Linked DNA regions of Lepisosteus oculatus. The protein of the gene in region 4 interacts with the protein of the main gene of each other region in a biochemical or structural test. Links are inferred from orthologs where the notes say so. Each region holds a gene or a part of one and is shown on either strand. Other genes may lie near its edges. The genes, in order: kcna4, mitogen-activated protein kinase 12-like, frmpd4 and snta1.

Region 1 (8,151 bases), on a different chromosome or scaffold from region 4:
CAGGAATGGAGATGTTGGCCAGGCCGCAGTCGGCTCGACAGCGCAGGGCCGCCCAGCACAGCATTGCCAGACACAGGGCCATGGGAGACATGCTTGAGCCAGCTGGGAGGGAGCACAAGACAGGACACGGCTCTGCAAAACGTCCATGGGGCCATGAGGAAGAAGTGTGGGAAATGCATGGAGGAGCATACAGATCTTCAGGAACAGGGCAGGCAGGTGACATTGGAACATTTCGGTATAAACCACCTGACGGAGGCTGGACACCCTGATTCAACCTACAATAACCTGCTCAGGCAGACCAAGTGCTGTTAGAGTACATTAGAATCAAATGCATTGATTATACAAGGACCTGACACAGGTGTAGATCAGGATATGCCTTTGCTCCAGATTTACTCAATTCCTTGAGCACAGTGGAGTATTGATCCCTGATTACAGTGAAGAAGGAAAGCCATTGAGCAGAGTACAGTATTGATCATTGATTACAGTGAAGAAGGAAAGCCATTGAGCAGAGAACAGTATTGATCATTGATTACAGTGAATAAGGAAAGCCATTGAGCAGAGTAGACTATTGATCATTGATTACAGTGAAGAAGGGAAGTCATTGAGCAGAGTACAGTATTGATCAGAGTGACGCACACTACAGTAGTTGATGGGAACCTTTAATGACAGTTCAAGACTTTAAAAAGGAAAGTCAGATTTGTCTCAAGTGGTTGTGTTTGTCCCCATAGTTAAGAATGATCGTTTTTGTTGGCAAATGGAAATTAGAATCATGAAAAGAACAAAAGGAAGAGGAAGAGAGGAATGAAGGAGGAGAGAAATGAAGATGACATAATTCAAATCAGATTAAGAACTGCACGAAGGTGGAAATGGAAATTCTCTTACCTGCAGGATTCCCAGTCTCTCCTTAGAAACAGTGGACACCTCTTCCTTCAACTCTTTCTTATATACCCTATGGCTGATGAGTGTGTAACCCGGGGAGATTTAAAAGGGTGAAATATGATTTGTGTTAACTGATGGACAGAGTCCAGTTTTCAGAGAGTGGGGTCTGTTAATCCGCCAGTCAAAACAGTTTCGGTAAAAACCCACCAGGTCATAAAATCCACAGCAGCAGGAATCAGGGCTAGGACAAAAAACAGATGCCCAAGGTTGTATTTACCGTGTTTCCCAGAGCTGGGTGATTCCACTCCCACACAAGCTCAAAGCAGTCTTGCGTTTGTAACTTGGCAGATGACAGATAAGATCATTTGTCTTTGCAGCTGAGTTTAAGGGGCAGAGCATTAGAATATTAACAGTTTCAGCATTTTAATTCTACGTTTTATTTACAATGAACAAGATACTAAAAATAATCTAAAACGCAGGGCAAGTAGCAGACTGCAGAAATGGTGACGGTCAGTTTGGAGAGCATGAAACCAGGCAAAGCGTACAGTAAAAACAATTAGGATCACTAGGGGTGTTACATTTGTGAAAGATCCCAGGCCCATAGGTAAAAGATTGAACAAGGCTGTGAGTTCAAAGGCATCACAGAAACTGCCTGCAGGGCTGCTCTGCTGCAGGAGATCCAAGAAGGAGGCTTTTAGAACTAGAACGTAGCTCCAAAGATGAAGCAAGTACTTTTTACTTAACTGTGTACCTTAACGTTGAAAATATTTACCTTGACCACTACTGAGTTGATGTCAATGCACAACCCCAGTGCGGTGTGCTGTATTCTGCATTGTGTCAGAGACAGATTTCAGAAAGGTTGCAAACAACGGGAAGCTTTTTGACCTTTTTCTTGCTCATTTGTTTTCACAGCAGGTGATTGATTTGAAGACTCAGTCTGGCTCTCTCTTGAGAGCTGTCAGGTTCTCGACTTTAACGGGACCCTGCAGCTTGTTCCAGACTCCCCCAACCCTTTGTGGAAAGTGCCCGGTGCTCTCTCTGGTTTTAAGGCGCTCCCATGTGGTTTCCATGTGTGTCCTCTGGTCCATGTTTCTGTCACGTCCCACAATCGCCCTCGCAAATGCCATTACATTCCCAAACCCACTGCTTCATGCTCTTATTCCTGACTGAACCCATCCCATTCTCACAGGCACCAGATTCCACAGATTCTCACTCCTGGACCAGTTATCACACCACGTCCCTCCCCTGTCACTATTTTAATTTGGCTCACGCGCCAAACCTTGCTCACTATTGAAAAGCCTCTTCTAGAGATTTCTAGTGCGTGTTATTTTCTTGTTGGATTTCTAGTTTTGTTTTACTTAACTTTTCCCTTTCGATCTCGTCTCTTGTATTTCGCCTTTTGGGTTGTCTTCTCCGTTTGCCCCAGCACTTTCTGGTTAATGGATCTCCAGCTTCTCCTGTCGACCTTGCCCTCTGGATTACGATTTTGGATTGTTTGCCGCTGCATCCCGCAGAATTCCCGGCTACGCACAGGATGCTCGGACAACTACCTGCCGGATCCCTGACAGTTTCATTGTTGAGGTTGGAGAAGTCCACTGGGTTGACTGGGGCTGGCTGTGCCTTTGAAGATTTAATGCTGGAAGGCTCTTAATTTTGAAACTTGAACTGGCAAACATCCGATCAGGCAACGAGAGAATCCCTCATTTAAATCAAACTGTTGCTTGTGGGAGACATGGTAGTGCAGTGGTTGGCCTTGCTACCTGCCAGTGCTAGAGTCCTGGGTTCAATTCCAGACCTGGGATGATGTTTGCTTGGCGTCTGCATGTTGTCCCTGTGTTTTTCCTCCCATAGGCCAAAGACACAGTGAATTGGCTTCTGGGAAAATGGCCCTGGTATGAGCATGTAGGTTTGTGATTGGCCGGGGTGCACCCCGCCTTGTGCCGGGGGCTTGCTGGGATAGACTCTGGCTTCCCCTGCAACCCTGAACTGGAAGCTGCAGTTAGTGTCATGATCGCAAACCCCTCCTCTTAAGGGCGCTCCAGCCCTTCCTCGTTTGCCTCATTCCCCGCACCTATGCCTTGTTCCAGCCCCCTTTTCAGTTCCCCCTTAAAAGCCAGACGCTGACGCTAATCAGGGCTCTGCACTGGTTTCCGCATCATGCGAGCCCGGTTTCCTGCATGCGCCTGGCTTTACGTTTCTATTCCCGTTCCCGTTCCCCCTGCCGGTCCTGACCCGGTTCTGGGTTTGAATCTTTTGTCTCGGATGGATCACCTGGCCTCGGACTCGTCCCTGGATCGTTTGCCTGGGCCACACCTCCCCCGACCACCAGCACTCCAAGGACACCCCCCCCTGTTCTCATCCCTGTCTCCTGCATGCCTTTTTCCTCATGTTTTCTCACTCCACCCCAGATAGTGTCGTCTGCATAGGGTCCAGAAAGAACTGTCCCTGACAGTCAGCAGATGGGCGGAGTGCGATCAGAATGACTTTGTGACTTAGACCTCGACACCGCTTCGGTACCGGCAGCTGGACAAAAAAGCCGGAAGAAGGTATTGTTCAGCGATACATTCATGCAATCCTCCGGCGTCCAGATGATGTTGGGCCTGCAAGCATTTATTTTTAAACTGCAGTTTAGAATTCCCCCCAAAAACTGATAATATCGAGAATGTTCAGGTTTACATCCTCTGAACAAGGGTTAACGGTATTTTTCTCCCCTAACCGAATATTATTATAAAGAACGTCTTTGCAATGTTGAAAAAGTAAGGCAAGATCGAAATCGCTAAACAAGAAGTTAACAGGAACTGGCAGCTTTCACATCCCGTTCCTATTCTGTTACTATTTTTCTCGCCCAGAGCGATGCATTCACAGTGCAGTGATCATGCGCATTAGTGTTTCAGAGCTCTTTGCACAAACCATTGATGGCTTTTTCTCAATGCAAATTCATCCGGAGAGACAAAAGTAAATAACAACTCTCATTAAAATTTAATAAGGCATACCACCCAGCTACTTAACAGAATGCGTAACTACATGTAATTAAAAAGGAGGGCACATATTCAACAAATGACCTTTAATAAAATGAGAGGAGCTCTTTTGCTTGTTTGCCTGATGGCATTAGGGAGGTTTAATTGATACTGGATTGTCGCCTGTGGATGAGTTAAAAAAAAAGAGGACGGTTGGTGTGAGTAGGGCGACCTCTTGTGGCACGATGGAGTTACTGCAAGAGTACATTTCTTGTTGACACGTGATGGCGGGGTCTTCGCTTGCCTGAGTAGAATCAGTCCATAGCTAATCAACATAGCTATAGACTAAATGAGCAATCAACATATTTTGCAGGTGCAGTCGCCTGCATAAGCGATATCACCAGTGACAGCTGGTGAACACCGAGACATCTCAAAAATGATGATTACACGACAGAAAGGCGTGGCTTTAAATGGGACAATACGACCGCAGAGCTATCTCCTTATAGTCCAGGGCGGGCTGGAGCGGGCTCAAACTATATGCATAACACGAATGTAATTGCTTACACTGTAAGTTACAGTACCGCTTCAGCAAAGCCGTTAGTTTTAAAGCGTCTGCTGTATTAGAATTCACCTGCGGCTCGGCGGCGTTATTGCACGTCAAGAGACACTGCTTGTTCTACAGAGCCCAGAGGTCACCACTGCGCATGTACTACAGCGAGTACAGCGCGCTGGTGCCGCTCAGTTCAGTGACTCAGCCACAAGTTTAACTCCGCGTTCATGCGGGCGCTGTTTGCACAAACACCGCTGCACGCTGGGGCTCTGCTTTAAAGCGGTACACGCAGCCCAAATACTCGCCACGGACACAGTCGGCGTTCCTGCTGTTCGTGTTCATATAAATATCACAAGGATCCAACTATAGCCCCCTGATGAGGCACGCTTATATGTACAGTACCACACGGACATACTCCAACGCGTCACCCAAGGGCGCCGAAGATGCTCCTTCGAGACGCCTGGGATACAGGAGTTCGGCTTCTCCGCCAGGAATAGTATTTCTTTGCCACCGTGTTGTTTTTCCAACTTCGATATCACTCGGTTCCTATACACGCTTCATGCTACACTCATATGCAAACGAAACGTTGAATTGGTCATTAGCTATAAGTTAGCACTGGAATCTAAACAAAACAGTTTCTGTCGGTACTAACCGGGAATATACAGTAGACTATAGGCGCAAAACGTCACATGACTAGATTACTTCATGGGGGATATTATCATCATAAACACGTTTAAGCACACACCAGAGTTCGGTGCATAAATAAACCAGCAGTAACAGGTTCCGACACGAATGTATTCAATCTGCTCCCCGAGCTGCCGTGTGTCCAGTCCGCACGACCGTCGCGCGGCCGGTAAGAGAAAAAGTTCCCGAGCGCGCGGCGGCTGCAGTGCCTCGCTCCGGCCGCTGAGGGAGGATCGCAGCCCGGGCTGCGCGAGGGAGAGGCACCCCGCGCGGCGGGACCCGCTGCTCCTCTGCGCGGCACGCGCGCACGCGACGGGGGCGACAGGGGCCGCCGAATGACTTGGGGAGGGGGGGGGGTAGGCGCGTGTCACAGGCGGCTAATGTTATTTTAATCGACGCGACCGATGAACTTTAATTATCGTCGTCGCCCGTTTTGTTTTGTGGTTTTTTTTAGATATAGAGATGTGCGGATCCGCACAGGCTGAACGTCTAGCTTTTAAATTCTTAACACCTGTATATGTGTGTGTGTATATATATATACACCGTGTGTGTGTGTGTGTTGCCGGGTAAGGCGAAGCCGGGAGGAAATGTGTATTTTTTGTCATTGAGAGGTGTTGACAAAGTAGTGATTGATACTGTTGCACGGCCACGGGAACAGCTGCGATTTCCACAGCGCGCTGAGCGAACTACGGCTGCTCACACCTCGCTACAGTCACAGCCGTCTCCCGACACGCGTTACGCAGGGATCTATTGTGTTATCTTTTCCCCTTTTTTTTGCAACACCGTGAGCATACGGGAGGAGAGGAGAGGGGGGGCTCAGACACTGTTTTCATTTTGACTGCTGACTTTAACATCACTTGCCGTGCGCTGCCTACTGTGGGGAGACGCGTCAAACTGCCGGGGAAAAAAAAGCACCGTGATCTCCCGGGCGCGCCAAACCTGCAGCTGGGAAGGTGAATTCGTCTCCAGCTCATTTCTCTTCCATATTCCGTTTCCTGGCTGGAGGAAAGAGGGATGTGAGGACCTGAATATCAGGGCATCATAAAAAAAAAAAACAACTATCCCAACTATTGAAGATCACATCGGGCGGAGAGAGAGGAATAGGATCTGCGCCTGATTTAATTTTCAAAACGTAAGTACAGGTCTGAATCGTACTGGGGTGTTTGGGGACAGAGGGGGATTGTGTTGTATTATGTGCACGTAGGGTTTTCGTCTACCTGTATTTAGAGAAAGACTGAACTGGGCTAGACTGTATTGCAAGCATCCATCACGCAGTGAGACTCCTGTTGCAGGGGCTGTTTTGTTTAAGGTAGTGCAAGCGAAATGATAATATAGTGCCCGAGGGAGGGGAAAAACGGGTATAGATTCACCTGCCTTTAAGGTGCAGGCAGGTTTAGGATTTAGGAACTGTGTGCGTTGGCTCTCTAAGGTCGTGGAGGAACACGACGATCGGATGAATCAAGATTTTCTCGTTTCGCTTTTTTTTGTTGGTGTTTCCTCAGCCGTTGTAATCATCATCATCAAGTCGAAGACGTGCGAGGAGGACGGACGGCTGATTGCATTGCGCTTCACGTCTGCAGAAATAACATAACCTCCCACCCACCCCCCCCCCAGAGAAAAAAAAATCAAGACCACCACCACCACCACCAACAACAACACAAAGATCAAGGGTGGGGGGGGCGGGGGTCAAAAGGCGGCTTTAATTGCGCACATCTGGATATCAGGAGAGTTTGTGACGAGCGTGACAAGTGGAAAAGCGACAGTCCTCCCGAGATGGGAAGCCGGCGGAATCTGTCGTCTGGGAGCATCTTCGCCATCCTCGGCGCCGGACACACCGCCGGACAGGTGCAAACAGCCACAGCTTAGGGCGGGGGGCGGGCAGATCGTTTTGTGACCCCTCCGTCGTGGGCACTGCAAAAGTGTTTCCACCGTGCGAGGTGAGGATGGCGCGACTGAAGAGATAAGAAAAACAATAATAGTCATTCACCCCTCCTTTCCTAACGCACCGTCTCCCGAGCGGACCCCTGGGGCCCGACCCGACCCGCACCCTTCCCCCCAGTTTCGCGGAAGGAGTTCGGGACTAGGATGTTGCTTGGCCGGCACCCGTGGTCTCCAACAACGGACATGTCAGGCAAGAGGAACTAGGGCCCGAGTCGTGCTGGAGGCGCGGACGAACAGGTGCGAGGGTCTGACAATGTACTGAGCCGCCCCCTCCCTCTACCGCCACTTTCACTTCAGGTCAAAGCTGCGGGCCCTTGTTTTTGTTGTTGTTCTTGTGTTCTGACCTCGGAGAAAACTGAAACCGGGACACACACACACACACCTCCCCCCCGGACTCAACCCCCTCAAAAAATAAAAACACCGGCACGCCGCTCGCCCCGCCAACATGGAGGTTGCCATGGTGAGCGCGGAAAGCGGCGGGTGCAACAGCCACCTGCCGTACGGATACGCCCAGGCGCGCGCCCGGGAGCGCGAGCGGGAGCGCGAGAGGGAGAGGCAGGCGCACACGCGCGCCGCCGCGGCCGCCGCCGCCGCCGCCGCCGCTGCTGAAGCCGCCTCGGGAGGAGGAGGAGGAGGAGGAGGGGGAGGAGGGGGATCCGTGAGCCACCACCACCACCACCTTCACCACAACAACAACCACCACAACCAGCAGCCGCATCCGTCTCGCACCGCCTCCTCCTCCCAGGCCGGCAGCAGTGGCGGCGGCGCCGCCTCGCGCCCCTCCTCCTCCTCCTCCCAGCAGCAGCAGCCCCACGAGCCGCCGCCGCCAGCTGTCAAAGGCAAGCAGCGGCGGCGGCGCGCGGCGCAGTGGAGACGCGAGCGTGCGGCCGGCTTTCGCCACTCGGAGCTGGCGCTGCTCGGGTCCGAGGACGACATGATGAGGGAGGAGGAGGAGGAGGAGGAGGAGGAGGGGGACGAGGACGAGGAGGAGGAAGGCGAGGGGGGAGAAGGGGACGGCGGCGGCGGCGGCGGCGGAGGGGGAGAGCCGAGAGAGCGGCGGAAAAGTTTCCTGTGGAGCCTGGGCGACGAGGAGACGGTGTCCCTCCCGGACCGGCGTCCCCAGCAGGGCTACGACCACGT
Region 2 (7,086 bases), on a different chromosome or scaffold from region 4:
TTTCGAATACCGAGTACAGGTGGGGCCTCCCCATAAAAAAAAAAAGAGGTTACTACAGTGAGAACTCAACCAAGTGCCCGAAATCCTTGGGGAGTACACACTGCAGAACAGGAGACACTTCTTTATGCAAAGAGTTGTGGGAGTATGGAACAATCTACACAGCCACGTTGTTGAAACCAACACCCTGTTTTCTTTCAAGAAAGATCTGTAAGCTTTCCAACGGCCTGAAGACCCGTGGACAAATCTCACTGTGGGAACCTGGGGACACTCACAAGTCCTGGAATCTGTCCAGAGAGATGTCTGGAGTGAACACATCCAGCAGGCCAATCACCTGTGGGGAGACAGAGAGAAGAGTCACTGTCCCGCTCAGCACGGGGAGTAACACCACATCACACCTGCCCCCCTACCCACTGGCTAGGGTGAAGAGACCCTTCCAGTCACCACCCACTTTTCATTACCCACAGCTCTCCAGGACTGGCTAATCAAGCAGTGAGTTCTTCCAAAGGCATGGCTGAAGAGAGTGGAGGAAAAACACAGGACAGGAGCACAGAGCAAGCAGGGTCACCAATGAGATCTTCCCTCTCCTTGCCAGTTCATAGGGAAGACTATATTTCTCCATGGGTGGCATGGTGCTACTGCCGTGGGTAAGTATTTCTGCCTCACAGTACCGGGCTCCTGGTTCAATACCTGGGGTGCTGTCCGTGTGGACAAAAATATACTAGTAGGTTAAGTGGCTTCTGGGACAACTGGCCCTGGTGTGAGAGCGTGTTTGGGCTGTGCGTGTCCTGCGATGGGCTGGGAGTACCCTGCCTTGTGCCCACTGCTTGCTGGGATAGGCTCCGGCCCCCTTGCAGCCCTGAGGTGGATGAAAACGGGAGGCTCGGAGAGAGCCGTACTCACGTTGTCGTGCTTCATGTGCTTGAGCAGCTTCAGCTCCCTGTAGGCCCGCTTGGCGAAGAGCTCGGACTGGAAGGGCCGGTACAGCTTCTTGATGGCCACGCGCGTCCCGGTCCGCCGGTCCCCGGCCGAGCTGCAAGGGGCAGAGCCGCAGAGGGACCGTCACACACCCGGCGGCCCGCGGGAGGGCGAGAACAGGCCCGTGAGACACCCACAGTGCAGGGCAGCGGAGGTATCCGGGCCAGGAACCGCTGTCTCGGCGCGCGCCGGCGGCGGAGGAGCAGCGCACGGCCGTTGGCGCGGACAAGCGGGAAGGAGAAGGAACACCTCCTTCCAGACGCGGAGCCCGGGGGCGGCTCCACGGCCGAAACACTGTGCTTTGGCAACTACTCCGCGCCGAGTGAGCCAGGGATTAATAACAGGTCAGAGATTAATAACACAGCCCCATTAATCCCCCTCTCTGAACTGGCTTCATCACTCTGCTCTCCACCCCCATTAATAACTGATGTGTGGGGAGTGTACTGGAGCACTATGGCTGCCGTCACATCATCCAGGTGGGGCTGCACACTGGTGGTGGTGGAGGGGAGCCCCCATTACCTGTAAAGCGCTTTGAGTGGAGTGTCCAGAAAAGCGCTATATAAGTGTAAGCAATTATTATTATTATAATTATTGTTTTAAGCAGCTGAGGGCACGCAGACTTAACGCTCTGGAAACAGAACACCAACGAAGGCCTCGAAAATGTTATTAAAACTCGTAAAACTTACAGAGCTCTAATGAACCTATACTATCTGGTTATGTATGGTGGGGATACCGCACTCTTGTTCTTACCAGTAGGAACTTCACAAGAACTCCTTGTTAACTACTTTTGACCCCCAGAAAGTAGTTGATTCACACCTGTTGATTCTCCCAACCTGAGCGAAGGTGCGACAGATAAGCGATGTGTGAATGACCTTTCCTGCGGGCAGGGCGGGTGACGTCACCGGCCTGGCGTTGCCGGGAACCGGCGGTGTTTGACCGATCAGATCGTCGAGCGCATTGCTGCGACGCCGCAGTTTGAAAACGGGTTGCTTCAGGAAATTTCGCAGCCCCTTGTGGTCTTGTCCTACTTCCGAGTGCTTTTATAGCTCCGCGTGGTGGGTGAACGACGCTCGGGGGCTTGTAAAAGTGCACTCGTGTTTTTTTTACCCTCCCTTCCACTGAGCCGAAAGGGAGACGTTTAAGGACACCCTGCCTCCACCGGGCCAAGTTATTAACCACACCTCCTCCTCCGCTTGCAAGTCCTGACAGAGAGGAGCAGGGGAGTGCCAGACGGACACTCGGCAGCTAGCGTTCATTTCCTAACCCGGAAGACAACTGGTTTTCCACCGTCCACTCGGGCACGACTGTACAAACTTCTGCCTGTGCTCTGCACAGACACGGAGAGGCTGAAATAGACCGTGCTTTCGTGGCTCGGTGCGGGCGTCTGAAACACCCGGACCTGCACGGTCGCTTCGCTCAGATGTGAGCTGCTAGGCAGGGGAGGCAGCCGAGAGGCTGCCGGAGAGATGAGAGAGAGCGAAAGGAGGAAGTAAGAACGCAAATATACATTGCGGGCTGAGCAAATAGACCGGCTCGGGCTTTCTATTGTTCCCTTGCTAATTCAGACTCGGCGCCCTCCTTCTCCTGTGTCTGCGCGTCCCCGAAACCGGCGAGACAACTCCACAAACTCCGTGGGCGGCCGCCCCGCGGGACAAACTGGCGACAGATGTGTTTCTATGAACCCCAGGCGAGCCTCACCACACAGTGCCGTACGCCCCCGTGCCCACGGGCTTCAGCTCCCGGTACCGCTCGGGCACTTCCCACACCGTCTTGTTCACGTCCTGCCGGTAGTATCCGGGTCTGGTCCGGGTCGTCATTCTCCGACCGGTGAAGAAGCCGAGCTTGACCGCACGCCGGTCCCTCCGATGCGCTCTCTCTCTCTCTCTGTCGCTCGCAGCCTCCGGAGCGCAGCGCCCCTCTCTCTCTTCCCCCGTCACTCAGTCAGCGAGTGCGGCGTGTGCGTGTGCGTGTGTGTGTTTGTCTATCTGGTCGCCCTCCCGTCTCCACGATCCCCTCCTCTCAGAGACGCTCTTCCTGTATTGCGCGCTCGGCTCTGCGCCTCCGCGGCGCACAGGTCTGTTGCCCCAAACAGACTCGTGTTTCTTTTTCCCTCGCCCCCGGTAAGAGGGCAGGTGTGATCCGCACCGTCTGACGGGAACTCACCCTGGAGCCGGAATGAGAAACATTCCTCACACGCACACGCCTTGAAAGTACTGAAACGAGGCTAGTACACACATCATCCTCAAGCTCTTGGTATGTAGTACAAGCTATTCAGTTCCAAAGGCCACAACCCACCTGAATCAATTAGCGCATCCACGGACTTTAAACCAGAAACCTGCTTCCTCCTTGCGTTATCTGACTCCTTACCTCCAGCCACCTAAGACACCACTTAACCTTTTACTATAAATCCTAACGTTGTTTAGTTGCCTTTTTTGTGCTCCTCCGCATTGCGCAAGATGAAAAGGAAGTATCAACAACACAGACTTCAAACTTCGCTTCTCTCATTTTATTTGTAGAGTTTGATGTCTTGGCGTCGTGTACATTGGGCAACGCGCTGCTCTCGCCTATATTACAACCATAACCCCACCAGCCAGGCCTTTTCCAAGTTACAGGATTTCAAAACTAAAGCTTTCGCATTTTCTTTTTTGACCTCTACAGGGTTTACTGATCCACCTGTTTTTTTTTTAACTTATCTGTAAACTTGTGTAGTTACTAACTGTACAAGAACATAGATTATGGGTACACCTTAAGCAGAGCAGTGGATACAGATCGCTCTGGCGCCCTCACTAATTACTCCCCCAGGATAACACCAAAGCCTTCTTTTCTCCATGAGGAATCCCAAAGCACCTTACATAAAGGAGAGAACCCAGATCATCCAGCCCTGGGTAACACACAGCAGCCACACCGCACAGCTGGCCAGGGAGAGAAATTGTGTGAGCAGAGGGCCTCTGACAGGCCGCCTTGCTCTTAGGCCAGCAGCATGGAGCCTCACTGTCCTGTCACTGATGTGGGCACTGGGTCTGCCGGCACTTTCAGCAGCAGTACGGGTGGCAGATCTGAAACGATCTCTCAGATGGACCAGTCTGATGTGTCGGTCCTGCTCTGGTGTGGTCACTCGAGGGCGACTGGATCTTGGATGGTCATCTGTCCTGCCGGTCTGCTGAAACCTTCTCTGCAGTCGGGACACAGTGGAGCGACTCACTCCATAGTGTCTGGCAACGCTGGCACATGACATGCCTGCCTGCAGCATGCCAATGGCCCTCTCCCTTGCTTCTGGTGACATTCGAGCCATTATGGAATGCACAGAAAACTGACTAAGTCTGCCCTTTTTCTTGCAGTGACCTAAGCTTTGAATTAAGGCCTTTTTAAAGGTGACCTGATCAGGCATTGTTCCACCTGGACCTCGCTGGGTAAAACTGCACCTAACGAGCTTTCGTGTGATTGGCAAGCTGCAATGCCTCACTGCACAAGCTGTATTGCTGGTCAGAGGGCTTAAAACAAATTGACAACGTTTTGTGAAAGTACATAACCTATAGCTATAGTATTCTCATTCCAGAAAATGTTGCGTTTTTTTCCATCATTATATATATACACTATATGTTTACTTGCTCTTTTGAATTATTTTTTATCATTGTAATAAGCACAGTCAATAAAAAATATACCTGTGCCTCTTATGAATACACAAACTCTTTATTTCATGTGTCATAAACATACTGCATCAAATTTGCTAAAACATACAAAACACAAACCCATTATAAGCAGTGGACCTACCCCTATAGGGCACCATTGCTATTCCTGAATCTCGAACCCATGTAATATTTAACTATTTGTGCATTTCATCGTCATTACGGGGAAAGTCCAGTAGTTCTGATTTTACAGACTGTTTCGGTCCGTTAAAGCGAAGCTCATCATACCAAGGATGTACTGTATTGATAACCCTCAGTCACAACTTTTTACAACAGTGTTGCACAAGGCTGAAATGTCTGAAAACGCCTGGGATCCACACAAAGAAAAGACAGCAAGTGAGAGGTGGAGGGCACTCGGCCCATCTTGCTCATGTGGTAGTTCGGTGGTTAAGTGAATCTAAAATGAATGCCAGATCTTTTTTGGAGGAGCCCAGCAGTTGGGCCTGATTCACCTGACTGTTCACAACTCTGTGTGAAGAAGTGTTTCCTCCTCTCTGTCCTATATTAATTCCCTTTTAGAATCCCGACTGTAAATCCCTTGTTCCTTGTTGCCCTATTGAGTGTGAAACAGTACCCTGGACTCTGTACCCCTTAGGATCTTGTATGCTTGGTTTAGATCCGTTCTGGATTGAAGAGATTAACTGCAGCTCCTTTAATCTGCCCATATACAGCCATACCGTGTCACAAGGACACATTATTGTTGCTCCTCTTGTTGCCAACTCTTTCTAAGGCTATAATATCCTTTTTGATGGTGGACTGAACACTATACTTTGTCTCAGATCTTACAATTTCACCGCCAGGCTTGGACCAGCAGTGAAAACATGATTATTGGCACAGTCAAATGAAATGTATGCTAATGGCAATTTGATTTTCAGATCAAGAGGTTAATATGAGGCAAAAGTATAGAGTTTCCAATTTTGTTTCAGAGTATTATTTAGCATACAGGTTTAGCCATGTTGGAACAATGGCATTTATTATGTTAAAACTCCCCATCTCAGACAAGTGTAAGTACTGGGACAAATGCCTGATGGATGTTTCCGTTCTACTTGTTAAAACGCAGTGGAGCTGTCAATGTATATCCTTGGTTCCAGTCTTCCGGGTTTACTTTTTGGACCTGCCCCTTGAGTTAAACCAAGATGAAGACCAGGGAGTTGTCACCTCAAGCAACAGTGAAGATGAGATCAGAAAATTCCATCTACAACCAACACGTTGACTGCCCCACCAGGGGAAACAACACACTTGACCTTGTTTATACTAATGTACCCGGTGCTTACAAAGCAGTACCTCACCCCCCTCTTGGACAATCTGACCACATCTCCCTGTTCCTACTCCCAGCCTACAGACGACTTCTCAAACGCACCAAGGCTCCAGTTATAACTGTAAAAACATGGACCAAAGAGGCAGAATCAATGCTTCGGGACTGTTTCGAGTGCACAGACTGGAGTGTGTTCAAAGATGCAGCCTCCCATGGATCCCACACCAATATTGACATGTATGCATCAGCAGCCACTAGCTACATCAGCAAATGTGCTGATGATGTGGTGAGCGTTAAAAAGATACGCAAACTCCTGAATCAAAAACCTTGGATGAACACTGAGATCCGCTCCCTGCTCAAAGCCAGTGATGCAGCCTTCAAATCTGGCAATGAGGAAGAACTGAGAGGGGCTAGGAAAAAATTAAGAGCTGGCATAAAATCTGCCAAGAAACAGTACAAATCCCAGATAGAACACCACTACAACACCAACACCCACGACACATGTGGCAAGCACTCTAAAGAGAGCGGGCATTGCGAAATCAACAGTATGAAATGTCTTGAATTACTCCTAGAGGAGTAAGCAATCAGCGGAGACCAGGTCATCCAAGGAAGAAGAAACCTTAGGGCTATAAAGTAAAACCCCATAAGTCAATCTCTAGAGAGCAGGGATGCAGGCATCTTAATTCACTGCGCACTACACTGCCAGAAGCAAACCTCTCATCGCCGCTAAAAACAGCGAGGCCAGACCAGAATTCGCAAAGAAGTAGAAAGATGAGCCACAACCGTACTGGAACTAGAGTTTTATGGACAGACGAGATGAAGATAAACCTGTATCAAAGTGTGGAGCAAGAGAGGAACTGTGAGCTCCTCAGCACATCACCTCACTTTGAAGCATGATGGTGGTGGTGGTGTCACGGCTCGGGCAGGACTCCAGGGCTGGCTCGCTGAATCGGAATCAGTTCTGAAGTCTACAGAAACATCTCGTCTGCCCACGTCCAAAAACTGCTTCTGATCTCATTGGACGACTGTTCACCCTGCACATGACTACAAGGACTCCAGACGCAGCACGCTCTTGACCACGGAGATCAGCAGGGAGGAGTGGAAACTCTTGACTTGGACGGGGCTCCTGATCTGAATCCTGTTGAGCTGCATTTCACTTGTTGAAGAGGA
Region 3 (7,857 bases), on a different chromosome or scaffold from region 4:
TAAATACATTTGAATAGAATGCTGACATGTAACATCTGAGACATTACAATAACATATCTGAAGCACCATAACGCGTACTAAATGGATCTGATTTTTTCATTTTCAGCAGTAACATAAGGTGTGTAGTTATTTTGTTTTTAGTTACAAGGGTTTCACATTAAACTTTCTAAGAAATTCACTGTAAATTCAAATGATTTTTTTTGTTTTTTACTATATATTTACTAGAAATCCCATACATATGGTGTTTATATTATGGGTTAATCAAAGGACATTTTCTCATGAATGAGAGTGTGTGGTGTGTTATTTAATGCTTATAAATTCATGTGTTTGCTACAGTTATGCAACAAGAGTGTTACCACCTTGTAGTCTGATAATGTCAGATCTGAGTAACTAAGCAAGGCTGGGTCTTGGAAGAACTGGAATGGGAGATCTCTAGGGAATAATGAGCTACTGCTGGAAGTGGCGATGGAGGAAGAGAAGGTGGCTCTCTGCCTACTGGACCAGAATTTCCAAACCAGTGCCCCAGTGACCAGAGACACTGTGCAGTAGGAAGGTGTTTGTCACCTATGTCTCCTCTCTAAATTCCACTTTGGACGTCTATATCCTGGCCTTCCTAAAATTCACCCATACTGTATGTGGTGTAGAAGTAGATCCACTTTTATAACTAGGGTTCTTTGAGATCTTTGGCTTATACAGTATACGTGCAAGGTATTATTTAAAATGCTTCACCTGGCATGAAACTGTTTCCTGGTTACAACTGTTATTATTGGCAGACATGTCATTTCTTCCAAATACAGTATATGGAAATCTTAAACAAATTATAAAAGTTTTAATTTATTAACAGTTCAATAATCAACTTTATTTTATACAAAATAAGAACATCCAGAGATGGTATTTTCCATTTCTCTTTTGATGAAAAGGTATTGTTGATGTAATAGTAGTTGTATCAATAATAATAGCATCACCTGTATCAGTTATTATAATAATAATAATAGTGATGTGATATATAATATGGTATTCATTCTGATAACCAATATAATATAAGATACAGAACATGAACACCCATTATCCTGGGTTGAGTGAAAGGGAATACAATAATAGACAAAACAGGAACTGAATTGTACTTAATGAATTCCTGTGAGAATTACATCTAAATTAAACAACTGCAACATTTAAAAAAAACGTATTTGTTTCTGGAATGTACCAAGCAAATGACAATTATGAAAAGTAATTTTAATTTTAACATTTCATAATCGTTTTTGTATGTTATCAATATTTTCTGCCAGTAGTGTTCTGCACAGCACACAAAGTGACAGAAGCTATTAGTATTTCACTTCTTCCCTCTCAGCAGGCATGGCTTGGTTATTGCTGTCCTGAAAGGCTGCATATTTCACAGAAGGCTTAGTTGCACAGTAAATACAAAACAACAAATTTGTTTCTAGATCTACAGCCTTAGAGGAGAGTGTGTATTTATTTTTTTTTACACAGCAAATTTATATACAAAATAAATTTTATGTACAGTCTGAAAGTGCGGGAATCTTTACTCACAGGGGAAGGACAAAGGCCTGTTCAGAAAATAAGATCTTACAGCAAAAGTCATTTTCTGCATGAATACATTAGGTTCATTATTATGATGTGCAATAAGTTTGTTAAACAGGTCTGAAAAGAAATCTGCAATCGTATTAATTCCAATCCCAGTCCCAAATCACATACACACAGAAAAAAAAAGTGTTTTAATGCTTTTAAGCACCCCTCTATTCATTGAAATGTAGTCAGAACATCTTGACATTCAATACAGAGAATGCCAAGAAATACAGAAATTACATATTTTCTTATATCCAATACTGTTATAATATTTTAGCATAACAGCATTGAATAAAAACCCATTGTTTTTTATTAAAAAAAATAAAACAAAAAACTTTCTGAGAATCAAACTGCTGTGTATCAAATGAGCTTTTACAAAAAGTCTTGGAATTTTAAATTGGACAGAGAGTGATAAAAGTCAGGATGAGCAGTTTTGTTTAAAAAATGTGTGACAGTATGAAGCTGAAATTTGAAAGCCTGCAGAGCCACCTCAGGAAGAAATGTTGAGAGTCAGATGCTGTACAGATGCTAAAGTGATTGCTAGCTGCTTATGCCAACTTTTCACAGTGGGAATAACTTCAAAAGCCGTTGACTTTAAAAGTTCCTTGAAAAACAAATTTCACAGACAGAATCTAAGTCAATTTGGCACTCTTCCAATGAATTAAAGGAAAAAAAATAGCTTATTTTTAGTTGCTAGAGGTACTGTTTTCTAAAATGGTGTTCACTTTAATTTCTAAGATACTTTCACAGCAATAATCAGATATGTATCAGAAAACATTCTCATAGTATACAGGTATGTGTTGAAGAAAACTGTCATACAAAATAGACAACATGCATACAACACATTAAAAACATACACTTCCTTTAAAACTTTAACTAATTTAGCATCACAGGTAGCTTTCAACATTTTGAAGATTCCAGGGACATTTAATTCAGTTTTTATTTTTAAGAACCTGTGGAAAGCACTTAAAAGGAGTTGCTATTTTTGTATTGTCACAGCACTACAGATTACTGCCAATTCAGGAACAAATGAATTAAATGAACAAAAGACATATAGATTCCTATTTATTAAATTTCCATGCATCAATGGCAATGTTAGCATTTTTGGAATAGGTTTTTCATTAGAATTCCAGGGACAACAGCTACATCAAAGAGCTGTTTACAACCGAGACCCAAAAGTGTCACTGCAATGTAGTACTCACTGAATGACTGTGAAGACTCCCAGTTGATTGCTGCAAAGCTCCATTACGTGACAGATTCACTCACAAAGTCTTGACTTAATTACGACTGTCACTCCTCGGTTCCCTGGAAGGAAATGTTTTTTTTTTTTTGCCACTTCTTCCTCTGGCTTTGGCTTAGAATTCTCTGTGCAGCTCTTGCTCTGGATTTAGCCAGTGCATCTGCGTTTCTCTGGATAAACTCTGGAAGAGCATTAACACATAGGGCTGCTGCCGGGAAGAGTCAGTGGCTGTTGCCCTGGGGGGGGGAGCAAACGAGTTTCTTCTGCTTCAGTAATGAAACAAGATAAAATTCCAGGCCACTGCATCATCAGGCAAGAGAGGGATCAATGTACGAACAGCTGTCCTCTAGTGCCTGGTACAGCCAGTGCACTAAAAGCTTACGACATGGAACAAAATGAAAATGGCAAAACTGCATTTACTCCAGTTGCCTGCACCCCATCTCACCCCTATTCAATTGAGTATAATAAGTAAATTGCTCATAAACACTTTTATGATTATAGGATGTGTTTCTAATGTGCAAAAAGTTACTTTGAGTTTACAGGGTATATTCCTTATTAGAGGAGATGAGTCCTGCATGAAAACCATTACAGTTTAACAAGCACTGAGTCTTTCTAAATTAGTCTTTTGGTTGTTGAAGACTAACAACACTGAAAATATAATTGTAAGGATAACTCATACTTCTACTGACTCTCTCTAATAAGAACATTTACTTTGAAAATAATAAATGTACTGTATGTATAAGCATACAAACTACACAGCCAACATCATAACATGTTTAGGTTTCATGTTTGTTAGGTTAATAATCCTTAAAATAGAATTACATCATCATGGCAGGAACGCCAACAGTGGACTACACCCCATGTTACTGTACAGAGATGAAGCCGAGACACTCTGTGTTTATTCAGCAAACTGCATGAGCAGTTTTTACAGATTTCCACGACTCCCACAACTACAATGAATTTGACTGCCCTTTTACAGAGAAGGTAGGGCAGGTTTTCTTTGTGTAATGAACACAGATTACATAACTGAAGTTAAATTGACTGGATTTCCAGCTGACACAGCTCCATGGAGTGGATTGCCTAGGGCACTAGGGGTTTAATTAAAATATAAAAGGTCCCGTATTTTTATCATGAGTTTCATTACGTGTTCCTGTTATCATTATAATATAATGTTCACAGCTAAACAGCAAAGGGAGCAGTCATTGAAAATTGCACACTTAATTGTATTTTATGAAAAATGCAACCCAGAAGGTTTCTTCAGATGGACTGGATTTTCATATAACAAATTTAAAACCATCTGATAATAAAATATAATTACTTGTTTGTTTGGGTTTTTAATTAAGGTTTTGTGGCTAAGATTAGGATAAACAATATACAATTTGAACTACAGTGCTTAATCTATCAAAGGTGATCATTTTACAGTTAACCTTCAAAACTGAAAAAGCAATTGAATACCTGGTCCGCTACCATTTTCCTTCAATTTTTTTTTCTTTATCAAGTATCCTGAGGGGCAATCAAACTGCAGTATCTTGAGTGAAATCGTTTTGTGACTCCAGGAAGGTTCAAATTGCAAATACATTGTTTGGTTCAGTTTATCAGTGCAATAAGTAGATTAAATAACTTCTGCCAACTGTACAGTTGTATGACTATAAACCACTGGATGAGATGAAATTGTGCAGGAATCAGTCCTACTGTATCTTGTTAGTTTTAACATGTGCCGATCAGCAGGTTATCACACAGTTAAGAATGTTTGTCTGTTTCTGTCTTTTTGGTCATACCCCGTAGTGAACTTATGCTAGCTGCAGGATTGTTTTCTCTCTTCTATCAAGCTCACTCTGCAACATTTCTGTGAGTTTTAGAGTAATAAGTTTACTTTAGAGTAATAATAATTCCAGAGTTATAAGGTTCAATCTATAAATTAATACATTAAGTGATGACGCTTTGGAGTTTCCCTGGACTGATCAGTCTGTTTGTTCTGCAGATTTGCCTGTTTGCCAGGGGTTTACTTTTTGTCTGGGTGATGCCCAAGATTAGGCATCTCAGATCGACACTGGAGCCTGACAACACCAGCTCTTTAGTGCATACATCTGTCTTTCGTATTTCTGAGTTTCAGGAGTTACATTTAGATGTAGCCTGGCTTAAAGCATAAGGCCAGAATGGTTATTGTGGCTTTATCAATTATATTGAATTAGTTTTCTATGTGAAAGCATACCAGGTAAAATAATGTTCTGGGCTTGTATTAGGTTATCAATCTGTATAGAAACTGTACTCACATGAAGCACAATTGACCTGCTGCACTAACTAAATGTACAGTAACATGTATATTTTAAAGCTTATATTAAAAAAAGTATATCCTCTTAAACAGAGTGCGATAAGACCTTTGGTAAAACAAAATATGACTATGACTAATGAAGAAAGATATAAGATGTGAAAAAGGGGTTAACTGATTTCTTTCTGCACAAAGACTTCTTGTAACACCAGACATTCAATACTTAGGAACCTTTGAGTTATGGCAGGAATGGGAGTTAATTGATATGAAATTCCAAGTGCAAGATAAAGACCCCCTAACTAAGGAAAGATAAAACCGACCATCAAAAGTGTTCAGGGTCTTGGGAATGTCCAAACATAGCATCAGAAGCGACTGAAATTTGCTATATAAACTGGAAGTTTTGTACCTATATTTTGAACAATACTTTGGTCTTATTTTTCCTTGCATACAATAAACTCAGTTATGTAAATGTCATCTTGGGTTCCAGAACTTATTTGTTTGTTACTACACTATTTATAGCACACAATCTCACATTCAGAGATGTGAGATATGAAAAACATAAATAAGAAACACAATGTTTTGTCTGTTGATCCGTCTTCAGGTGTGACCCTCAAGACTGGGTGGTCTTAGAGTTAGGGTTAGGAGAGCATTACACAGCAGGTTGAAAATGCTCATCAATAATAATTGATAATTCTTTCCAACCCTGCAGAGTCAGGTGGGGGAACACAGTGGAGAAACAGACATTGTGTAAAGGATGAGGATGGAAAAGCTCAGGGTTACTTTAATGAGATAAGTGAAAGAGAGAAGAGAGAGGCAGAGACTGATAGTTGCCAGTAGGGAGATAGTAGGAATGAAATCTACTAGAATCTAGAATGACAAGAGTTTGAGAAGATGTAGGCAGCACATAGGTGCATATTTGTGCAAGACAAAGAAACCACCTTCAAATAATAGGTTTATTCACAGACACCTCAAAGTCAACCTCTCTGGTTAGCTACAATGTCCTTGGCTAAGCTATCACAGAAATTCAACACAAATTTAACTAAAGTACCTGTTATAATAAGATTAAGCATGTGAACTCATCTACATTATCTGTAAGGAAAGTTATTTTGGCTACCTGCAAATGGGATGTACTGTAGCCATTCAGACATCTAAATTAATCTGTTGTTAATATTTCAATTATTCAAGGATTTTATACAGCTGTTTCTTAAAAGAAGCAATCACATTGGCTTTGACAACATGGCTGGGTACCTTGCTCCATAGTCCCACCACCCAGTGCCTCCTGTTATCAGCGTTAAAAAACACTTCCCCTTAGTTTCCATTTGCTTCTTCTGATTTGTGTTTCACTGTTGATTTTGAAGCAGTCCACAGGGTAAACCTTATACTATAAGAGTCTTTGAAGATAGTCCCCTTGTAGTCTTCTCTGTTCAAGACTAAAGGGATTCAGGTTTTTAACCTCTCAGAGAAAGATGGAATTTAAAAGGAGCAAAATTGCATTTTATTTCTCAAAGTAGTGTAAAATCATCTGAAATGGAATTTCAACTAGTTAAAATATTCAGTAAGTTCTACTAAGTCAATCGTGCAGCACAGGACTGTCTGGCTTGAATCTTGATTGCAGCAAGTTCTAGATCCAGTCTTAAAACCTTCACTAGAAAACTCCACCCATTTACACCCATAGAAAGTACCACGGAAAACTTTCAGGGGGTGGATTGACATATTAGTGCTGTATAAGTATTGTATCTTAGCACTAAGAAGCTGGCTGGGAGGTACATCAGTTCCACCAGACTGGAACTTCAGGAAAAGCAGGAAAGAACATAGGGAATTGGTCCATTATTAGAAACAAATGATTTATGTAACCAGTCATATGCCACACATTCAGGAATCAATTGTTGTGGTCAGATGTCTAGTTTGCCTTAAGCTGTGCTGAAAAAAAAAATAGAGCCTCAGCGGTTTATTAATTAAAAAACACAGCTGGAGTAAACAGAGAGCACCAAGCCTTATTTTTTGAACAATCCAAGTCTAAACAAAGGCTGTGTCATTCATCCATTATAATGTTAAGTCATGTTGAGCTGGGAATGAGTGTCAGTGGGACTGTGCTGATGAAATTAAAGGGGTGACCTTGTCCATTAAGGATGTCTGTGGCCAACAAGGGACCTACAAGAACTAAAGGTGTCATAGTGTGGAAATAAGTGCCCTCTCAACACTTTTGTCTTGTCTTCAGCTCCTCCAGTGTTATATACTTGAAGATGTCATTAGAATTTATGGCTAGATAAAATGGTCTACAAGAAAAACTTGCTAAATATAATATATATTATAAATATAATATAATAACCTGCTCTTGTATTCTAACCAAAATTAATGGGCATAAAATGCTGAATTCTGCCTTGAATTTCCTCATTAAATTTCAACTGTTTAATAACTGTTGCCTTTTATTGGTTGCATTGCACATCTACTGGGAGTTGCCAGGGTTGCTTAAGGGCAGAGTTATATTTATCAGAAACTGAAGCAGCAAAGGAAAGCCCACCTGTCAATTGAGTTACAACAGGATGTTTTGCACTTCTTGTTTTGCACAATTATAGCCCAAACATCAGGGCGTTTTTGAAACCTTTAGTCATGAATCCCAAATCTTAACCTGTAACCTACATTGGGCAATTAGGCATTTTGGTTGTAACCCAAGAGTGAGGTATACATATAGAGCTATTTTTATTCAAGAAATCTTTATTAAGTCCTAGCTAATTTTACCATTGCACTCCCATGGTATATTCCT
Region 4 (7,881 bases):
AGCAAACTATTATATTTTAACTTCAAGGGGAAAAGAAAGCAGTGCTCCAGAAATGAGATCTTGCAGTAATCTTGCATATTCAGAAAAGTAAAATAAGACTACAGGGAATAACTGCAAACTGAATGTATTTTTAAAATGAAGAATACGAGCCTTGCTTGCATGGCTTTGACTTGTACTGGGATGCTGTGCTGTCCTTCAAAGAAGACCTTATCATTAAGGATCCATAGGCACTATTGAAAGATTAAGGAAGCTAATCCCACAGTCCTGGCTAAATTCTTCTTTGAGCTGTGCAATCTAAAACTTTCCACAATGGATTAATTAGGTCCGCACTTTTACGTGAAGAACTTTGGAATCTTCATTAATGAAAATTATTATTATTACAAGTACCACTACTAGTAGTAGTAGTAGTAGTAGTACTACTACTACTTTAAGGGGTGGCATGATGGGCAGGGATTACCACCTCTGGGTGCCTGGGTTTAATTCCTGGCATGCTATCTGTGTGGAGTTTGTATGTCCTGAAACAGGATTCCTACAGCAGTCAAAAGAGTACTGATAGATTAACTGTCTCCTAGAAGGTTTGACCATGGAATGAGTGTGTGTTTGTATCTGTGTTTGTGTCTGTGGTGTCCTGTGCTAGACTAGCATCCCATCCAGGGTGTATCCTGCCTTGTGCCTGTTGCTTGTTGGGGTAGGCTCCAGCTCCCCCTGTCTCTATATTGGAAAAAAGATTAGAAAATAGATGGATTATTACTTCATCACCTCTTTGCTTTTTTTAAATGTCAAGGATTTGTACTGAACTTTGTTGCAAAAGAACTTGCAATTTTATTTATCTGTGTTTATTCGTCCACAAATTATAAGAGTTTTGAAGTTGGTACTGAATTTTGTACCAGAAAAGTTAAAGAGATTATACAACCAAAGTGTCTGTTTAGCTTCCTAAATTCTTCTGCAAACTGTTTAAGGATTTGCCGGTCTGTCCTCTCATCACTGATCTGACTTGACTTGTCTTACTATATAACTAAAACTATTTGTGAAACAAATGATGATGGACCAGACAGTAAAACCCCGTATCAGTGAAAACAAAGTTAATAAGAAGGGAAAAGTAATCAAACAAGTACCTGAAATCTTTAAAAGTACTGTTTCCAAACTAATTTCCCCCCTCCACATGCAAACAACAACTACTGAAAACAAAATTCACACTATCCTAAGATCCAGTGATTCTACTTAGCTTTCTATTCCGAAAGGTTACAGCCTGTGTAGATTTCTTTCAACAGCTTGTCACATTTTTTCAGTCCCGCCAAGAATTCACTTCACATTCTCTAAACAAAAATAACTTTTAATAGTTGTGTGATGTGTTTTAGGAGATCATTACATTAAAGATACTATAGGTTTGTGGGAGTAACAAGCTACCAGCCACATTGTCTAAGATGATACCTTGGCGTCTTCCAAGAATTATATGGGTGATTTCCTCCACTCAGGGCAAGAGTCGCTTCTTTTCATAAAGAGTTGTGGGAGTATGGAACAAGCTTGCCAGCCATGTTGTGGAAGCCAATACACTTGTTTCTTCTCAGGAAATAGGTGGATGAAATTCACAGATCAAGTAGCTAATAACTACCAAATGGGTAATTGTAAAGGCTGAAATGTTTTTATGCTCTTATATTTAATTTAAAACTGTATTGTGGCACTTCTACTTCTAGTTTTATGTTTGAAATCAAGCTGTTCATTTCTTCCCACATAGTTAAAAGGACACATAGCTGAGTTTATTTTTAACTCTGTACCTTTTTGATTCAGACACAATAAGAAGTGACCAATCATTATCAAATAATAGAACTGTGATACTGTGGCAAATCTTTCTTAAAATATTTACAACCTAATTATAAATTATAATGTTTGCTGTCAGTAGAAGGCTACTCGATGCTATCTTACGCATAGAGTGGTCAGCCCTGTCCTGCCACAATGCCGTCTTTACTGGTCTTAAACTCACTGTTCAGTACTCCATTCACCAATTTTTAAACTTAATTTTTGACCACTTAATCTGGAGAATGGCTCGATTTGCAGTTTTGAGATCATTTGAATATTAAATCCTAACATTCTGTTCCACGCGAGGAAAACATGAGTTAAGAGAAACAATTGTTTTAATGAATTTGTCATAACCGATACGTTACAATTCTCGCTTAAATCATCACTTAGTAAAATAATTATCAGACTGTTTCTCTTCAGGATCTTCCCTGAACTGTATACAATATTTAAGCAGTAAAACTATAGCAATGTTAATCACAAGTTAAGGCACAAAGTAATCCGCTGTACTGTACAATTCACACGCCGTTTTAGAACTAATGTTGCCTGTTTTCCTAAACTGGGATATTCTCCTGAACAACTTCAGCAATGGAAACTGCTGTCACAGAACACTTGTTTCACGTGTTCAACAGCCCAACAAATGCAATGCCAGTCATCTTACAAAATGCAGTTATGAAGGGCAAACATTTTGACCGAGGTTTTCTTCTTCGTTCTGTATATTTGTCGGAAAAACAACACTCACTTGAGCCCAAGGAATTTCACCTGATAACAGTCGATAATGTGATATCACACATACGTCCAGTTGTCTTATTCGGGAGATTAATGATAATCATAATTTAGTTTGTACATGTAACTACATGTACACAACGAAGGCTGTCAAGAGCTGTCGACTTGAAAACAAACTTCAATGAAAGAAGTTTAACTTCAAGTAAACTTTTATGTCTTAAGTTACAAAGCAATGAAAGTGTGAGCAAATTCTGTTTTTTTACCTTTAATGCTGATTCCCAGACCCCCAACATCCTGCTTGGTGACTCGCACCGTGCGTTTGACGTTGGTGATCGACTCGGGGACTGGAGAGCTCGACCCGACGCTGGTTGAATCTCCGTTCACTGCTCCCAGGGGATTTGGGCTCAGGCTGGGGTTCACAGGCTCAACGGTAGCTTCTCCCGGACTCACCGTCAGGCTTTCCTCCGTGAGACAGGCGAGCACACGGATCCAGCGATCCACGGAGGTTCGGAGCTCCAACAGTCCAGTTTTCTGCGCCTTCATCCCGGCAGCCATGTTCAACACATTCCTGGAATAACTCCACTCTGTACGGGGTTGGCAGTCCTGTACAGAGATGGGGGTGGGGGGTGATGATCGGAGATGCCAAGAGAGAGGAACACCACGGACCCTCCCCTCTCCGTCTCTTGCAATCGCGGCGCTTAGCTCTTTTTCTGCTTTACGCATTAGAAGTTGCTTTGATAATAGTGACAATCCAGTGAAGTAGGCGCTTTTAGAAAAAGTTCAGAGATGTTTAATGGCCGAATAAAACTGATTACTGTTTTTTTCTCTGAAGATGGCTTCTCGAAGTGAGATTCCAAGGATTGTAGTGCAATTATTATTATTATTATTATTATTATTATTATTATTATTATTATTATTATTATTATTATTGTTATTATTATTATTATTATTATTATTATTATTATTATTATTATCAGTAGCAGTAGTAGTAGTAGCAGTAGCAGTATTAACAGACCTAACAAAAGAAGAGAAAAGGCAGCAAAATGCCCTACGTATGCACTGTTCCCACTCCAATGGAAAATAATTGCAGAACATTATATGAACTTATTTTTCATGAATTGTACTACATACTGTAAGCATATTAATTTACAATATAAAAATATCTGTGAAACAACTTTCATAATGCACACATTTATCGTCTGTGTCTGTGATCTTTTTCACTATCACGTGGATGTGTTGCTCTGGAGAGAGAAAATTGTGCTCAAGGCCAGTCAGATCATTTACCAAAGTCGCTCATTCCCATTTTACAAAGCACTCTGAAATTAAGCAGTAATTAATTTACCACTTGTTCAGTACTTAAGCTCGAAATGAGAGTTTTACACTTGTGCTACTGACTGAAAACGAATCATCTCAGCTGCTGCATGTAAAGGTACATAAATATAATACTGTGCTCATGAAGGCCATATCTAAAAACCAGGGGTGGCTCCAGAAATATATTTTTTAGCATGAGAGGAGTGGAGCCATTATGAATATTTATGTTATAAAGTGTTTGTAGTTGTTATCTCTGCAGCTACTAATTTAGCAGTGTCTATATACTGAGCTTGTTAGTGTTTCATTAGAAGGGATTTTAATTAACATCGATTTTGACATTTACATTATCTTTACTGCCATAAATATCTTTAGGTGGGATGGCTTAAGTTCCCCTCCACAAATAGGTCAGACATCAGTCCATTGGGCAGAGTTTTTCCAGTTGTGTGGTGGCTTCAAGTTACTTAAGGTCAACTAGCAAAATGTGAAACAGGTGGTAAAGGCTTGCTGTCATCCATACAGGTAACATTGTCTTGGCATTCTTCTGTCAAAAGGCAGCTAGGTTTGGGCAACAGAAAGTCGCTGAATCGCTGTGTGGCCTGCAGAACCTTGCAAACCGACGTTAGCCATTTCATGCAGTGCTGTGAGCGTCAGCAGAAACACAAAGCAAATCATGATAAAGAGTTACCTGACCCTGTGGCCAATGTGCCTCTACCTGCAGGAGGTTGACCCCTTGACCTACAAGCACTTCTGGAGCTATCGCAGTGCCCTGTAACTGGGGGTGTCAGCTTGGGCGGTCTGAAAGGCCATGCAAAATGCCAGGCAAGCCAAGGAGCTGCAGATTCCTGAGGACTGAACACTCGGGGGAGAACGTCCTGTGTGGGGAAGACAGGAGTGAAGGACAGACCATAGCAGGAGTCAGTAGTGCAAAACCTAAAGGAGCATTGAAGTGCATCTGGCACTAGACAGCAGGTGAAATAGCAGGAACGCCTGGACCATATATGGAATACTTAGTCGCTAGGATTTCCTTTCTCTCTTTATAGGATGAGCCTGACAGGTTGTATATCATCTTTCAACAGGAGGCGCACTGTCTGCTGAAAATGAAGTGGACAGTCTCTTTTGGAAACAGAGTACATTTACATACAGTAGAATAGCTAAGGGGTAGCCAGCTTTGGTCATGGCAAGCCAATCCAGAAGGTTTTGTCAGTCATCATTACCAAGCATTACCAACTGGCACCACAATGAACCTGAATTAAATTGTTGTTTGGACTGAGCACTTAATCTTTACTGAAGAGAAACGGCTGCTTAATTACCACAGGGGACAAAAACAATACAATATGAACATAAATAAGTATCCAGTACTCCAGTAAGTATCCTTTTTTTTAAAAGCTGTAAGTTTCTTGTTTAAAGTGGAATCCTAATTTGCACTGGCTACTGAAACGTTCATCCGTAAAAGGAACAGTACACATCTGATTACTTATGTATTCAACATACTGTGCAAATGAAAACAAAAGTATAAAGACAGTGTAAATGGCATCTTGTTAGTAACAGTGTCTGCAAATAAGATTTAAATAAAATCTTTAAAATATTCTGGTTGTTTTTTTATTATTTTTATTGCATGTAAAATTATTTTATTGTCAGGCCAAGGGCAGCAATCAAGCAGCAATATCAATTTACTAAGGGTTTACTTCTCAATTCAGATGTTAATTTATTTCAGTTTCAGAGAACTCTTGAAATCCCGCTCACATGTAAAGTGACTGGGGACAATGGGTTCAACTGACAACTCGGCCCTTATGAACTTTCTCATACACTTGTAAGAACATGAAACATTTTATTTTACCACATAAGTAGGTCATTTGTGAAAACATCAACACCCTGTATCTCTAAACGATCACCTCTGGACATTCCTGACTGAAGTGAACAGATGAACATACCAATACAATCAAACTAATCAAAACTAAATTAATAAAAGAACTGCTGTTGTAATACACTCTATTTCGATACCAAAGAGAATCCATAAAGATTTTGTGAATAATGTCTAATAAAGTGCAATTACTTCTTGCAACATGTCAGTTCATGTTACATACAATTTATCAAACAGTACATCCCAGCAATTCAAAGTTAGACAGCCTGGAGGGGTGGTGTATCTGCTGGTTTTCGTTACAATTCAGCTCTTAACTACCTCGATCAATTCATTGCTGAATTAATCAATTTAACAGCTTCTCCCAGCTCTAGTTTGAGTGCAGCTTTGAGGAGACCTAGAAAACCATCCAGGACCAGGACCAGGACTGTCCGCCTCGGCGAATGTTTCACGTTGAAGGAGTAAATTATAAGGAGGGTTGAATGCATTTTGCGATAGCTCTTTGAATATCTATTTCCCCCTCGTGGAAGTATTTCAGTATCGCAATGTAATCACACTTTTAAAAAATGCCGTCACAACAGACAGTGCTTCATGATCACCGTTTCTATCGTTGTTATTGTTATTGGTTATAGAACAAGGAACAACATGCTTTTATTTTATTACTTTTACATTTACGAAGAGTCCTGCCTGCGATATATATTTTCGTTTTATATTTGATATATGTAATGAAAATTTATTTTGGTTTCAGCGTCAACAAAACAGCTTTCGCAATACTGTGTGATCAGGTGGTAACAACTCTTGATGGGACATGTTTTAACAATGGGTGTGAAGAATTATGAATCACACTGATGTGTCTGAATCAGTTCAGTGAGATGCTGTTATTGTTAAATTAAATTTTTGATTCGGTGACAAATATATTGGGTTGTTCTTGTCTTGTTGGAATTAAAATGTTTTAAATACACTTTGGAGTCTTCAGGTGTCGTCGCTTATCAAAATAAGAAACTTGTTTTTCTGTTTCTTGCTGTTTTCAGCCTTTCATGGAAACTTCATTATTCGGTCATACCAAACAAAGAATAGAGTAGTAGAATTGTTTGTCAATTCTGGATTGGTTTAGTATTCGTGGTTTAGTTAGGAATTTTCTGTTTTTAACATTTTTCTGGGTTCATCACCATGGCACCCGTTTAATTCATTTGGTCTTGTTTTACCCGAGAAACTGAAGTTTGGCACTGCTACGAACTGTTTTCCTGTTATAATTACAAAAAACCCTATATAATTTCATAATTTTTCCCTCATTAACTAAAAACATAAATTAATTTACGTGGATTTTAAATTGAAGAAAAGCACGACCATAGTGGTCTCACCTGTTCAGTTACAGGGCAGTTCGTTTGTTTGACAGAACCAATAGACTGGTTCTCCATAAAAAAATCAGGAGGTGTCGCTATTGTTACGCTGATTTACAATTCAGTCCTATACAAAGATATGAAATACATTTTCAAAGAAAATGAAAAAGAAAGTTATGATCAGCAACAAACAGAAGACACCGACTAAACCTAATAGCTAATTGAGCACATTTTTCATAATACGACAAAAGAGTTATTATTAAGTTGTTCTTAAGAAGTTAGACTGATAACCTCTGCAAACAGTATTTAATTTATGTTTTATACAACTTGTAAATAATTCCTTTTTTGTAAACGAATAAACTGGAAATAAAATCTTTACCTCCATTGAAAACACGTGTATAAATCAGTTACAACAGTAATTATACTAATAAATTACTTGTAGGTGGACAGATTAGCATCACTAATAATATAACATTTTAGGTGTATCTCTCATTCTGACTTTTCTTTTAACTGGAATTATTTGTTCTTTGGTATGTTTCACATTGTATTCTCTCAGAGTTGTCTTCTGAAACACAATAATTTACTAACTAGAAAAATAAATTAGTAACCATTGGAGCTATCATTTCCTGCTGTTTAAATTAAATCTAAATTTCAGAGCCTTTGTCTATCTCTGTTTTGCCATTCAAGATCATTGCATTGCAAATATGGCAGGTGGCTTAAAAAAACTGAAATGTTTTCCATCTGGATAAAGCATAATAGTATGAAAAGATTTAGGAATTAATTAGAGAGGAAAAAAGAAGGGGATTTTGATTACTTCCCTTGCGAGATACATCCATATCCACACACATATAT

What was found.
Region 1: the proteins of snta1 (region 4) and kcna4 interact in a test that uses a peptide from one of them, tested with the Homo sapiens proteins (2 studies listed by BioGRID and IntAct). The link is inferred for Lepisosteus oculatus from reciprocal best matches to the Homo sapiens genes SNTA1 and KCNA4.
Region 2: of the proteins of snta1 (region 4) and mitogen-activated protein kinase 12-like, one has a biochemical effect on the other in vitro, tested with the Homo sapiens proteins (2 studies listed by BioGRID and IntAct, with this or other methods). The link is inferred for Lepisosteus oculatus from reciprocal best matches to the Homo sapiens genes SNTA1 and MAPK12.
Region 3: the proteins of snta1 (region 4) and frmpd4 interact in a test that uses a peptide from one of them, tested with the Homo sapiens proteins (2 studies listed by IntAct, with this or other methods). The link is inferred for Lepisosteus oculatus from reciprocal best matches to the Homo sapiens genes SNTA1 and FRMPD4.

The regions. Positions count from the first base shown.
Region 1 is NC_090716.1:3,645,533-3,653,683, reverse strand, and holds the start of kcna4 (potassium voltage-gated channel subfamily A member 2), read left to right. Parts: upstream 1-5,067; 5' UTR 5,068-6,202; intron 6,203-6,224; exon of another isoform or gene 6,225-6,572; 5' UTR 6,573-7,456; coding exon 7,457-8,151. Other genes in the region: fshb (follitropin subunit beta), read right to left, coding at 1-91. UniProt on the Homo sapiens protein: Voltage-gated potassium channel that mediates transmembrane potassium transport in excitable membranes. Forms tetrameric potassium-selective channels through which potassium ions pass in accordance with their electrochemical gradient.
Region 2 is NC_090702.1:48,041,079-48,048,164, reverse strand, and holds the start of mitogen-activated protein kinase 12-like, read right to left. Parts: upstream 3,214-7,086; 5' UTR 2,793-3,213; coding exon 2,674-2,792; intron 1,031-2,673; coding exon 901-1,030; intron 332-900; coding exon 273-331; intron 1-272. UniProt on the Homo sapiens protein: Serine/threonine kinase which acts as an essential component of the MAP kinase signal transduction pathway.
Region 3 is NC_090708.1:21,686,255-21,694,111, reverse strand, and holds the start of frmpd4 (FERM and PDZ domain-containing protein 4), read right to left. Parts: upstream 3,017-7,857; 5' UTR 2,831-3,016; coding exon 2,787-2,830; intron 1-2,786. UniProt on the Homo sapiens protein: Positive regulator of dendritic spine morphogenesis and density. Required for the maintenance of excitatory synaptic transmission. Binds phosphatidylinositol 4,5-bisphosphate.
Region 4 is NC_090711.1:15,463,577-15,471,457, reverse strand, and holds the start of snta1 (alpha-1-syntrophin), read right to left. Parts: upstream 3,148-7,881; 5' UTR 3,076-3,147; coding exon 2,784-3,075; intron 1-2,783. UniProt on the Homo sapiens protein: Adapter protein that binds to and probably organizes the subcellular localization of a variety of membrane proteins. May link various receptors to the actin cytoskeleton and the extracellular matrix via the dystrophin glycoprotein complex.